3 linked regions of the Zea mays genome follow. The protein of the gene in region 3 interacts with the protein of the main gene of each other region in a pairwise test. Links are inferred from orthologs where the notes say so. Each region holds a gene or a part of one and is shown on either strand. Other genes may lie near its edges. The genes, in order: DNA topoisomerase 6 subunit A3-like, Meiotic recombination protein SPO11-2 and type 2 DNA topoisomerase 6 subunit B-like.

Region 1 (4,045 bases), on a different chromosome or scaffold from region 3:
CAAAAGGTAATAAATGACATCCAACTAATTCAAGCTATATGATATGCAGATGATCTGCTACATGAACATAATGACTGATTTTGAATAGCGATATTTACAGAAACCATCACTATGTTTTTTGTGCTTACCGTAATCCATAATACCATGTATTCTGCAGGTTGAAGCTCGAATTGTTCTATCTGTTCTTCGGAAGATCAAAGAGCAATACCTCCTAGGTCATGTTGAGCTGCCACTTCGTATTATCATCACGGATCATGAGAAGACATCAAGAGCTGAAGCTGAAACTACTGCAGTTGACATCGTGCAGGCAATAATTACTGAAACTAGTGCAGTTGATGTCGTGCAGGCAAGAGCTGAAGTTGAAATTAGTTTTGATTGAACCTGGAAGCCGCCCTCCTGTTTCATCAAAATCCAAAGCACCAACAAAATCTAGAGGTAATTTAGAGCAAATATCCAAAGAATTCACTAGGAGACCACAGGGAATGATAAAAATCCCTATTAACTCACTGAACCATTGGTTGAAGAAGAAAGCCGCAAGGATTGCAGTGTGACATTTTCTTACAATAGCCTTTTGGTCCATTTACTATACAATAAATTGGTACAGTTATTCTAGGATTGGGTGTACATATGAAAACAGGGTAATTGAATTTAATTGTCATGTTTCTAAAGACATCATGCATGGATTTTCATACTGCTATATATCAATTTCCAGTACATTTTCATTCAATCCGGGTTATCCCATTTCCATGTCAAACACGGAACTAATAAGCCCTACAGAAATATAGGACACAGAACAACCAAAGTTCGACCAGATAAGAGGCCGAACCAATTTAAATCACCTGTGTTATGTATCAAATTCCAGCACATATCTGGCAGCAATGTTTTCCACAGAACAGTTCTCCAGCAGAAATAAATAATACAACAGCTGGTGTTCAAAAATACATGTGATTAACTAGATAGCGAAGTCTTCATTCATGCCAATTTGGTCCTTGAAAATACTGAGCGGAGGAGGGCATTATCTTGGCTAGGGAAATTACTGATATCTGCATGTACAAACACAATATCAGGTATAATGACAGTCTTGGTTAACTGATACATTTGACTGAACAATCTGGATCTCTGTGTTGCTAATTCACTCATGAGGAAAGGTGCCTAAGTGTTGTGTTGTGCTGTGTACTTGGTGAAATGCACTAATAACCATATCAAGCCGAGCGTGGGCAGCAATGAACAAAGTGACGCGAACAAGACCAAAGATCTCGTACCTAGCATTGGAGAGTTCTCAAATCCAATCCTGCTCCTGCAACTTAAGAGGCAGGTAGACCTCAGTGAGGTACTGGAACCCGAAGGAACTGAGGGCCTGTATCTCAGCCTTTTGCTTGGTGCGAAGCATCGTCTCCAGCTCCTTCACCCAGCCCTCATTCTGCTTCACGAAGTCCTCCTCGAGCAGCTCTTTCCCCACCTTGATATCGTGATCGGTCATGGGGAGACGGCACTGCTCCGGCACTCTGTACTTGTCCAGGTCGCTCGGCCGGACACCGAGCCACTTGATGTCCGGCGTCGTCAGATTGGCACTGTCATACGACATGTTCTTGGAACCACACATGTACACCGACAAGATCTTGAGCCCGTATGGATCGGAATCCACCAGCGCGAGCACTGGCAGCTTCAGCTCAACCTTGAGCCTCCGCAGGAACAGCCGGGTGGCGACATCTGGCTGCCCCTTGGCCGTCAGAATGATGCAGGGGAAGCGGTTGTAGAACCTGTCCTCGGCGAGTCGCATGAATGCAGCGTCCTTCTCCACCAGGAGGATGAAGAGCGCGTCGCTCTCGATGCCCGAGACCCTGTCGACGTTGGGCGGAATGGCCTTGCCGCCGACGCCCATGCGCGTGCAGTCGATCCGGTCCCCGTCGTCGGCGAAGACGAGGCGGCCGACGACGACGCCCTTCTCGGAGGCGACGACGTGGAGCGAGGACCTGGTGCATCCGAGCATGCAGGAGACGTCGTCGAGGACGGCGTCAGACTGGGTCTGGTCGCCGAAGAGCTTGACGTCGGTGTAGAAGAGGTCACGCTTGGTGACGTGGATGCCCCTGCCGAGGACGGCGTGGACGAGGGAGAGGACTCGCGCCGTGATGGTGGCCTTGCGCGCGGTGGCGACGTTGGCGAAGGGGCGCGCGGACTCGCGGCGGACGAGCACGATGCGGTCGAGGTCCGGGAGGTAGACCTGGTTGGAGGCGGCGCGCGAGGGCACCGCGAAGGAGAAGCCCCGGCCGGAGAGGATGCTGCGCGCGGCGGCAAGGACGAGGCGGTTGATGCGGGAGGTGACGGAGGTGGAGTCCTGGTCGGCCACCACGATGTACGAGGAGGCGGGGTCCGCGCACGGGTCGTGGTCCGCGAGGGACCTGGCGGCGGCCTTGGATTTGGAAGCGGAGGCAGAAGCGAGGGAGCGGAGGGTGGCCAGGATGGAGGCGTCGGGGCGGAGCTTCGAGCGGAGGGACTCGGCGTACGACGCGGCCGAGGAAGCACGCGGCTTCTTGGAGCTGGATGCGGCGCCGGCCGCGCTCGCACCGGCGCGGCGCTTTTTCTCCGACATGGGGAGGAGCGAGAGATCGGAAGGCGGCGGAGGGAAATACGGGGTTCTGGGGCGCAGATGACGGCGTCGGCGGCGGGGCTTAGCTCGAGCGCGGCTGCGATTTGGTCTGGTGGTGACTGGTGAGGAGTGTGGAGGACCGACTGACCGAGTACCGGAGGAGGGCTGTGCCGCGCGCGGCGTCTCGGCTGGGCTAAGCTAATGGGCCGAATAGCTTATGGGCTCAAGGCCGCAATGACACAAAACTATAGATGAGCAAACTAGTCATGCTCGGCACGATACGACCTGGGCTCATGCCAAGGCACGACATGACCAGGCCCACGGGTCTATCGGGCCAAGCATGCACAATCATGCGTGGGCACATCCCTTTGAACCATTTTTTCGGGTCAAGCCAGCCCGAAAAGCCCTAGCCAAATAGAGTGTCGAGCTAGCACGAAAACACAATTTGAACAAAAACATGCACAATTTCAACATCCAACACAATTTGAACAAAATATACACAAAATTTGAGTTGTTAATGCAATGTTGTCTCGTTAAAAACCTTTATAGGTAAAACTCATACCTCGTGAGAAACCCTAGAAAGGAAAAAAGTACGACCAACTCAGTTTATAATTCAAATGTTCAAATTTATTACAAGCCAAAGGGTGATATCAAATTAGATCAGAATTCACGACGTAGCCCCCCTTCTCGGCTCCGTACCTCAACGGCCTTGGCGGCACTAGCACGACCACGACGTAGTCGGCCGATGACCTACCAAAGCCCACAAGCAAGCAGCGAAGAGGAGATTAGGGTTAGGGATTGCCGATTGGAGAGGGAGAGCCGAAGAGGGACGTACCTGCCTAGCCGGAGCTCAAAGCCGGAGACAAGGATCTAGTGCACAACGACGCTTGACGAGCCGATAACCGACGACGACGAGATTTGGGTTAGGGATTTCTGGATTAGGGAGGGACCGAGGGAGAGCCAGAGAGGGGCAAGCCGCACAAAAGGAGTGTAGGAGACCCGCCGATGTCGCCGGTGATGAAATTTCGATGGTGGCGACAACAACAGCGAGGCAAAGACGGCGCGACGGGCAGACCACGAACAAACGAATCGAGTGGGGAGAGGAGCAGGAGAAGCCGTGTGGGAGTGGGACACTGGGATGAGACGAGGGGAAGGGGGATGTCGTGTGTGCCTTATGCCCTGCACCCCGACACCGAGGCGGCCCCGTGCCTGCTGTTTTCTGGCGGGCCGGGTCGCGCAGCAAGCACTATGGATAGCCCAAGCATGGCCTCGTTTATTGTGGCGGTCCGGCCCAGGCACGAACCCAGTCGGGCAAAAAAAAGAGCCTCGGGCTACATGCTCATGTATACACACACAGAACATCAACGAGTCTCGCAGAACATCAACAACAACGAGTCTCGTACGTCCTATATATTATTCCTAGCAGATACTCAGAACTTCATCGATTTCTATACAGAA
Region 2 (4,144 bases), on a different chromosome or scaffold from region 3:
CCGCCACTGAACATCAGAACTCAAGAGAGTCAAAACCCATGTGATTCGGTGGCCGATGATGATCGATATTAGACTACTCTTGTTGTATTTATGTACATTCCCATACAGACCATCGTTTCAGTCTACAGGCAGTTGGACATAGCTACTGTACTACAGTCCATGCAGCTCATTGTTCCGTGCAACCATGCTAACATTCCAGCGGCCAATCGTCAGATGTAATCGCCCTGCACGATCTTTCTCGCGATGTACTTCCCCAAGAAATCGAACCCGTGGGAGTAGAGGGCTTCGATGTCTGCACGCTTGCCCCTCTCCACCATCAGCGCCAGCTCAGCTCTGTGACTCTCCTACAGCCGAAAACCACCATAAATCATTTGCAGACATATATAAGGGCCTTAAGCCGAATTTTACACAAGGCCATATGATAAAGCATCAGGGAACGATAGTAATTATGTAACGACGTTGAGAGCCAAATACACACACCTGCAGGAACTTTGACGACATCAAGCTTTTGGCAATCTGCAGATCACGTGGCTTCAGCTCTTGAAACGCGTCCTCGGGGATAAGATGCAGATCACCTCCTCTCACCCCGAGCCATTTCACGTTGCAAGCTGAAAATGGAGAACAGGATTCACATGGTTCGGTTCGGCCACATGTGCAGAATAAAGGCCAGATGATCACTCAAACAAAGTACCATATCTGTATGACTCTAGGCCCATTGATATGCTTCCGTATTTGTAAGTGCACAGTATAGCAAGCCCTGCTGGGTTCCTGGAAAAAAAAATCAATGCTATCTAAATTTGTTAAAAGGGCATCACTCAGTTATAACACTATATAGCGATGAGCACAGGAAGGGGCTTAACCAATCCACTAATGCGAAAATCGGCATATTCGGAAATGTCTGGCTCAGTCGATGCAAGATGAACCTGTATCATGACAGCAAATATGTAGGGCATAAATACACCTATCACCAAATATTGTCAACATTATCATAAAGAATTTGGATGCAAACTTGCACTGTTACATTACATAAGTGGTGATATATCCCGTGCAATCACTCATTTGGTGCCAGCGTGCAATCAAACAATCCAAAGCATTCAATATATATCCAACAGTTTTATATGGAAGAGGTTAAATGTAAAATAGGTACTAGGTTTCAGGTGTATGTGTGTGTGGGGGGGGTGGGGGGTGGGGGGGGGGGGGGTGGTTAAATATAAATAGCAGTCACCGTTGAATTTTAATTGGATGCACTAGATAGCTTGATTGCACACTCCTAATAAGAAAAACTAAATGCTTGAAATGGAGGTACACAACCTTGTGGCAATATCAGGATATCCTTTTGCAGTGATCAGAATACAAGGGAGCTGATTATACAGGCGGTCTTCAGCCAGCCTCTGAAATACGGCATCCTATTTGAAACAAATGACCTTATAAGCTATAAGGATGCACTATAGAGATAAATCATTACTAAATTATAGCAGTAGGATCGGTACCTTCTCCACCACAATGATGTACCGAGAGCCCGAAGACAAATTTAATTTGCTCAACAGGTTCAGGTCCCCCGTAATTGCATGCCCTGAAGCTCCAAGAATGGAGCAATCAATCTGCTCCCCGTCCGGTTCCTAAGGTAGTTGAAACATGCAGTTTAGGTGCTTACTGAAAAGATAAACAAGACTTTATCATGTATTCCCTCAACACATAATCAGGATATATTCTGGGATATCATGGAGCAGACATGCAACACAAGGCGCCCAATGAGTGCCCCTCTGCTTGATGCCATGACTCCTAAGCTCTGCCTTGTGCACCGGAGCAAGGAAACAACATCTGCACGTGAAGAGGGGACCAAATTTGATTACGACCAAACTACACATTAGCCAAACAAGAATCAAATGGGTTGGGGTGGGGGTTTTGTCCACCTTGAATGGCTTGGTTGACATGACGTTGACAGCTGAAGTACTTGGGTGAGTCGGACAGGAGCTTGTAGAACAGCTCCCGTTGCTGGACCAGCTTCCCCTCCCCCAAGATCTTGTAGCACATCTCCATGACCTTCCACACTATCCCACAACAAACGGCTATTTTAACCAGACAAATGGGCGAGGATAATTCCGTCCCAGGGTACTCAAGGAACAAGTGGTAACCTCTTACGAACGCCTTTGGATTGTGCGTCAGAGACCTCTTGCAGAAGGTGTATGAGAGATAAACCGACGAGACGTCGTTCAGCAACCCACTGCGCAGGCTGCAGTTGGCAGAGCTCCGACTAATCTGCCATGGAAAAAAGAAATCATTCAGAATACTGCTCGCAATACATTTCACCAAGGTTATCTGAACTAGAAATCATACAGCTTGCAATAACTGATGACGAATCGTGATAATTGGCTAGGGACCAAATTCCTGTGTTATCCACATGGCACATGGGTGAAGCGCGCAGAACCATCACCGCGGTAAGAGAGGAATGTGTGTGTGTGAGAGAGGGGGAGGGGGGGAGGTTTGGCAACTGGTGTACCAGGGGGAGGACGGAGATGGCCGGCGAGGAAGGGGAGGCTAGCGCTGCGAGGAAGTTGAGCACCGCTACCTCGATCCTAGCCCGGACCTATCGACAACGAAATAGGACCCGTCAGTGACCACAACGAAAGGCGCGCACGAAGACATGGGCGAGGCGGAACCTCAGGCGGCGCGAGGATGTCGGCTGAGCAGAGGCGGCCGTCAGCGCCGAAGAGCGACGCCGCTGCCACGTTCGCCTCCGCCATCGATGGAGAGTTGGAGACGCTGCTGCGGTTCGCGGGCGGAGGCGAGTCGCCAAGTTGTGTGTGTGCTGCGGCCTGCGGGCACCGGCGAATGGGCTGGGCCGAGTTAGGAAATGAGAGTCCAGTAGTGGTCTGCGTACCTGTGGTAGTATGCCCCCTACAGACTTAAACTTATATTGAACGTAGGGTGACAATAAATTCTAATTTTTACACTATAAAATTTAACTATAAAATTTAAGTATCAAATCGGATTAGAATCGTGCTCTATTTCTATTCATTTTTGAACTGCAAATTATTTAAAACTCTATCATTTTGTGAAAAAGCATTTGGATCACGATTCATTACCACCCCTAGTCGGACGGAAGGACAACCGTCAAACATAAGGCTGCTTGTTGGAATTTCCTCCGTTTCCTTTTGTGCATAACTGCACTTGTGTGAAATTGAGCACAAAATCTTGTAATAGTCAGTCCTCCATATCTATTGACATGTAATTTTTTTCTCATTTTCATGGCTTCTAAATCTATACTACTCTATTAAGAATCTAACGTGGGCAGCTGGTGCTACCACGGTTTCAACCTCAGCGCTAAAATTCTAGGCCCGCCCCACACGTTCCGACTGGTTCTCCCGTCCCACACACCTCGCCTCGACATCGTGCCCTGTGGGACCCATGCCCAACGCCCGCGCAACGCCCTCTCAGCTACTGCCATGTGGACCCCCAACGCCCTACTGCGCCTACCCAGCACCCGAGCCTACCCAGCACCCGATCCCGACCGCACAACTACCACACTATACAAAAAATAGTGCAGAGTGAGCACTCGAACCCATGTCCCCTGCTTCAGAAATTTAGGTCTAACCACCAGCACACGTACCTTATAGAGTTTAGAAATAAACAACAATTATATACGAATAAATATTTTAATGTCTATTTATATGACATATAACAACTGTAGCAAAGCACGTACAACTATCTAGTAATTTTGTAAGAAGCTTAAAAATATTTTTTTGGGATGGTTAACTTAAGTCAATCGCTCTTAAAAAAAACTAGAGAGAGAGTTACATGTTCTTTTCATCTCATCAATCTAGGCGGTGTATGTACACGTGTACATACATGGCCTAAGAATACTAGTTCTTTTACTTGGGAGACTGAGCGGTGGCCACAAAAAAGGGTGTATAGCTACATGTTCTTTTCATCTCATCAAAAGCTTGTGGTGATGACTGGCTGTTATATGATTATTGTATGCTGCATATGTTGGCTACATGTGTGTGTGTACGTACGTATATACATTGTTTACGACCACCCAGAAGGGAGAACTTCAACGACGCCTACGTTGTTTACGAGCTGATGGACACCGACCTTCACCACCTCCTACGATCCAACCAGCCACTGACCGATGACCACTGCC
Region 3 (3,823 bases):
TTAGAAGTGCATTGGCTACGGATATATTGGTAACAAGTATCTTGGAAAAAAGGTTATCAATAAACTAAATAGGTGTATATATGTCCTTGAGCTGATTAACTGAAACAAAAAAACATAACAGGTCTAAAAGTGATTACCATTTTTCAGCTGTCGGTCACTTGTGGTGTGACCGTCCGAGTGTGACATTTAACTTGAATTGGTTGTGGAATATTTTCAGTTTCGATTGTTGAGTATCAAGGACGCATGTACCTTGAGAATCTCTGTTTTGCCTCTTTTTCCTTAAGCTGACAACTTAAGTTCCTGTTTGGCTGTTTATTTTGTACTTAGAATTTAGCATGTGAGCTCTTTGTTGAGCAAACAGGCAACACTGGTTCCAGAAATGTCTGTCTACCACAAGATTCTGATGATGTGCATCATTCTGTTACGGCATCAAGTATTGACCAGCTAGTTTCTGGTCTTAAAGACTACTCACTCTCCCATGTAAATTCTTGCGACAAGTGTGGCATGTGCTTATTTGATAGGTAAAAAAACCTTTCCATCATGACTGTCTTACATATTTTTCTCATACTACTATGCTGCTAAGATAATTTTACTGAATTTGCTAATATATGCTCCAAAATTTTCATGCTGAAGTCACCCTTATTCTTACCTGGGGGCATCTAGGTAGGGGTTGTGCTTTTTGATTTGCTTGTGTCCCTTTTCTGAGCTTACCAATATTCTGTTTATAATTACTTCTAGTCTTTACTCAAAATGAGATGTTTTAAAAACCAAATCATATTTTTCTGCTATCTGTCTTTATTTGAATCTTTCATCAGTAGTTTATCATCTGTATTCATTTCTAGCTTTTTTCCTGAACTCACAATTTAGAAAGCTAAATGATATTTCTGGAATCTCTTTTCCGTGTTCTTTGGAGTTTGCTGTTGATAAATCTTGTTAAGCAGATCGCTTTTTCCATTATTCTTTGAATTCAATTGTATATTTTTTTCCTTTTTTCAGGTCCATTGACATCATGTTTTTTGTTTTAGGTATAGCCCTATGTGAGAAAGCTAACCAAGAATCACTGCTATGTGCTATGTTTGCATTCGTTGATTTTTTTAAGAAATTTGCATTCATTTGTGTTTAAGACATATTTTCACACTTGTTAGCATGATTTGTGTTTAAGATATATTTTCACACTTGTTAGCATTAGATCTTTTGTATCTTCTTTCCTATATTTAACCATGAGAAAATTGTTGATGGCAGCCCACATGCAACAGCATCCCATGCTTCACTGTGTATTTGCCCATTTCTTAATCGCCCAAGCCCAAGCCCAAGCCCAAGCCCATTCTCTCGGCCTTTCTGGCATGCATGTGCTAAGCTCCTATGTCCAAACCTTTATGTAGTCTGGTCTGTTGTCTATTCACTCATTGGCATGCTAATGAACACTTGCATATCATCTGAGTGTGGTGTTATGCATCCTCACGGGTCAGGACAGATTGGTGTGCTTCCATAACATGATTAGTAAGTTTTAGTTTTTCTTCCTTCTTACTTCAGAGATCTTCTAAAGATTGGAACTGGAGCAGCAAACCATGTAGAAAGAAGAAAAGCTAACCGACTACATGTTGAAGTAGTCATAGTGATTGCACATATTGCATCTGATTCAGATTGTTGTATGGCAAATTGCTCGTCCACGCAGGTTTGAACCACGAAGGTTTTAGTTATACATTTTCATTTCCTAAATAGTTTTTTCTCCTAGGCCCTAGTGCGGTACATTCCCCATGCCAAGACAATCTTATTTTAATTTGACAATGGAAATGACTTGTTCGTTTGACTTATAACTTACTTACTAACAGTACAATAACTCTCGTAAAGTATATTAGAGTTAAGCATGATTCAACTGAGCTTATAGTTTATGCCATTGTTGGCTGCAACAATTGCAGGTTTTGTACTTTGAAGATTTTGTACCTTGTCAGATATTGCAGTCCTCTTTTGATGTGTTGATGAGCACAGACTGGCAAAGCTATGGTTTCAAGTTAAAAGGAGGTTTGATGGGTGATGACGGAAACGCTGTTCTCGAGTGGGATAACATGGCATTTGCTCGTATTGATATTTCCATTCATACTTACCACGAATGATATCCAGTTTGCACACTTCATCCTCTTTTTGTTTTCATCCACAAGTTATTTTTTTCAGTGAAAGCTCAATCTATATGTAGAGGGTGGATTTTCTGTCTATCCTTGACTTTCTCCAGCCACTGCTATGCAAGAACGGCAGGGATCTCCACAGGATAGATACCTTTTGAGGAAGGCACTCAAATCTGCTCTAACTCACTTGAAAGCAGATCATGCAGGAGATTTTCTTAGTTGCCATGGCCAGAGGGTATGCACTTTGTACATATTTCTTAGTTTTTTACTACTATTGATTAACTTATTCAGTATGTTTTTTGGACTGAAGAAATTATGTTGCTATTTGGGTAGAAGCTAAGGCTAAAGTGCCATCATACACTTAGGACAATTTGTCTTATTCTATCAACTACGCAACTACGCTGCAAATGGTCACCTATTTATTAGAGTTAGTATAGAGAAAGATAAGCTAAGCGTGACATCATAATAAGCACCATAAAATTCTATCATGAAAAGAATACCATATGTTAGTTATATCATTTCAGGTTGTATCATAATAAGCACTCTAAATCATTCGGTTCATTATGTCATTTCAGGTTCGTGAATACGTTCCTGACCTTGCGGAATCAATCGCTGGGCTGATCTTGTCATCCACCGATGAAGAGTTCCAAGGCGAATGCTTTGCGCTTCTTGGGCTAGGCTCCGAACAAGACGTCTCTGGAGGAGCTGTTCAGTCGTCGATCTGCGAGAAGATGATCCGCATCATAGAGATAAATGACACCAAGGATAATTCAGAGGACAACGTGCCTTATCTGTTCGAATGCGAGAAGCTGGATGAAGATAGCGAGCTGGACGAAGGAGGTGGAGATGAAGACATGGCTTCCGATTTCTAGCGTTGTTTTCACCCGTCTACCGTCTCGTAGAGTTGTAGTGTAGTTAGAGATGGCAATGGGTGTCGAAAACCCGAATACTTATGTAGGTGGATATGAGATGATTTTTATATTGGTGGATATGTTAATGAACAACAATCCCTGCCCGTTGGATAAACGGTACGATACACGCACCGTATATCCGTGAGTAAAATATATCTGTACCATACAACTATTATTATCTAATAAAATTAAAATAAAACCCTTTTTCGACTATCGTTTATTTAACTTTCAAGTTATGTAATCATTTGGTTTGTTATATTTCAGGTTAAACTTATTTTTATGTATTTATTTGACATTTGAGTGTTCGGAATATTATAATTTAAGATCTTCTTAGCGAGTATGGGTTACCCATGGAGCATGGGGTATAAGTATGAGTAGATTTAGTACTAAGAGCGTATATAGATAATCCGATAATAAATATATACCTGTTGCCATCTCTAATCTCTAATTGTTGTAGCCCAGACTCCACTAAACCCGCTCGCTGAACTCGAGGCGGTTTAAGTAGCAGTTGCTACGTCAATGTTTAGAAAACGTAATTGCAGAAATTAAATAATTAAACGGAATATAGCTGCAGCCTGCAGCCTTTCCAAAACTTCTACAGTTTAATCAAAACTAGTCTTGGGGCAACTTTTTAGGCAAAGTGGAGACCACGGCCTAGTAAAATTGCAGTAAGCTGCTCCGTAGTTTCCCTGTCATTTAGAGATCACGCTTCGCTGTTTAGAGTAAGCTTCTTCTTTGTGTTTTGAAGAACCATATTATCTGTTTATCTTGTAGTAATAACATTTCACA

Evidence for each region.
Region 1: the proteins of type 2 DNA topoisomerase 6 subunit B-like (region 3) and DNA topoisomerase 6 subunit A3-like interact in binary tests that used the Arabidopsis thaliana proteins (3 or more experiments, as listed by UniProt). The link is inferred for Zea mays from reciprocal best matches to the Arabidopsis thaliana genes AT1G60460 and RHL2.
Region 2: the proteins of type 2 DNA topoisomerase 6 subunit B-like (region 3) and Meiotic recombination protein SPO11-2 interact in binary tests that used the Arabidopsis thaliana proteins (3 or more experiments, as listed by UniProt). The link is inferred for Zea mays from reciprocal best matches to the Arabidopsis thaliana genes AT1G60460 and SPO11-2.

What each region holds. Positions count from the first base shown.
Region 1 is NC_050096.1:43,347,665-43,351,709, reverse strand, and holds DNA topoisomerase 6 subunit A3-like, read right to left. Parts: upstream 2,696-4,045; 5' UTR 2,591-2,695; coding exon 1,280-2,590; 3' UTR 1,263-1,279; intron 1,044-1,262; 3' UTR 628-1,043; downstream 1-627. UniProt on the Arabidopsis thaliana protein: Component of the DNA topoisomerase VI involved in chromatin organization and progression of endoreduplication cycles. Relaxes both positive and negative superturns and exhibits a strong decatenase activity. Involved in cell-elongation processes.
Region 2 is NC_050099.1:34,754,933-34,759,076, reverse strand, and holds Meiotic recombination protein SPO11-2, read right to left. Parts: upstream 2,806-4,144; 5' UTR 2,745-2,805; coding exon 2,661-2,744; intron 2,588-2,660; coding exon of another isoform or gene 2,501-2,587; intron 2,260-2,500; coding exon 2,136-2,259; intron 2,052-2,135; coding exon 1,914-2,051; intron 1,822-1,913; coding exon 1,733-1,821; intron 1,620-1,732; coding exon 1,491-1,619; intron 1,407-1,490; coding exon 1,312-1,406; intron 924-1,311; coding exon 861-923; intron 769-860; coding exon 692-768; intron 609-691; coding exon 481-608; intron 345-480; coding exon 210-344; 3' UTR 23-209; downstream 1-22. UniProt on the Arabidopsis thaliana protein: Component of a topoisomerase 6 complex specifically required for meiotic recombination. Together with MTOPVIB, mediates DNA cleavage that forms the double-strand breaks (DSB) that initiate meiotic recombination.
Region 3 is NC_050100.1:60,887,232-60,891,054, forward strand, and holds the end of type 2 DNA topoisomerase 6 subunit B-like, read left to right. Parts: intron 1-327; coding exon 328-521; intron 522-1,533; coding exon 1,534-1,675; intron 1,676-1,919; coding exon 1,920-2,113; intron 2,114-2,234; coding exon 2,235-2,358; intron 2,359-2,698; coding exon 2,699-2,995; 3' UTR 2,996-3,247; downstream 3,248-3,823.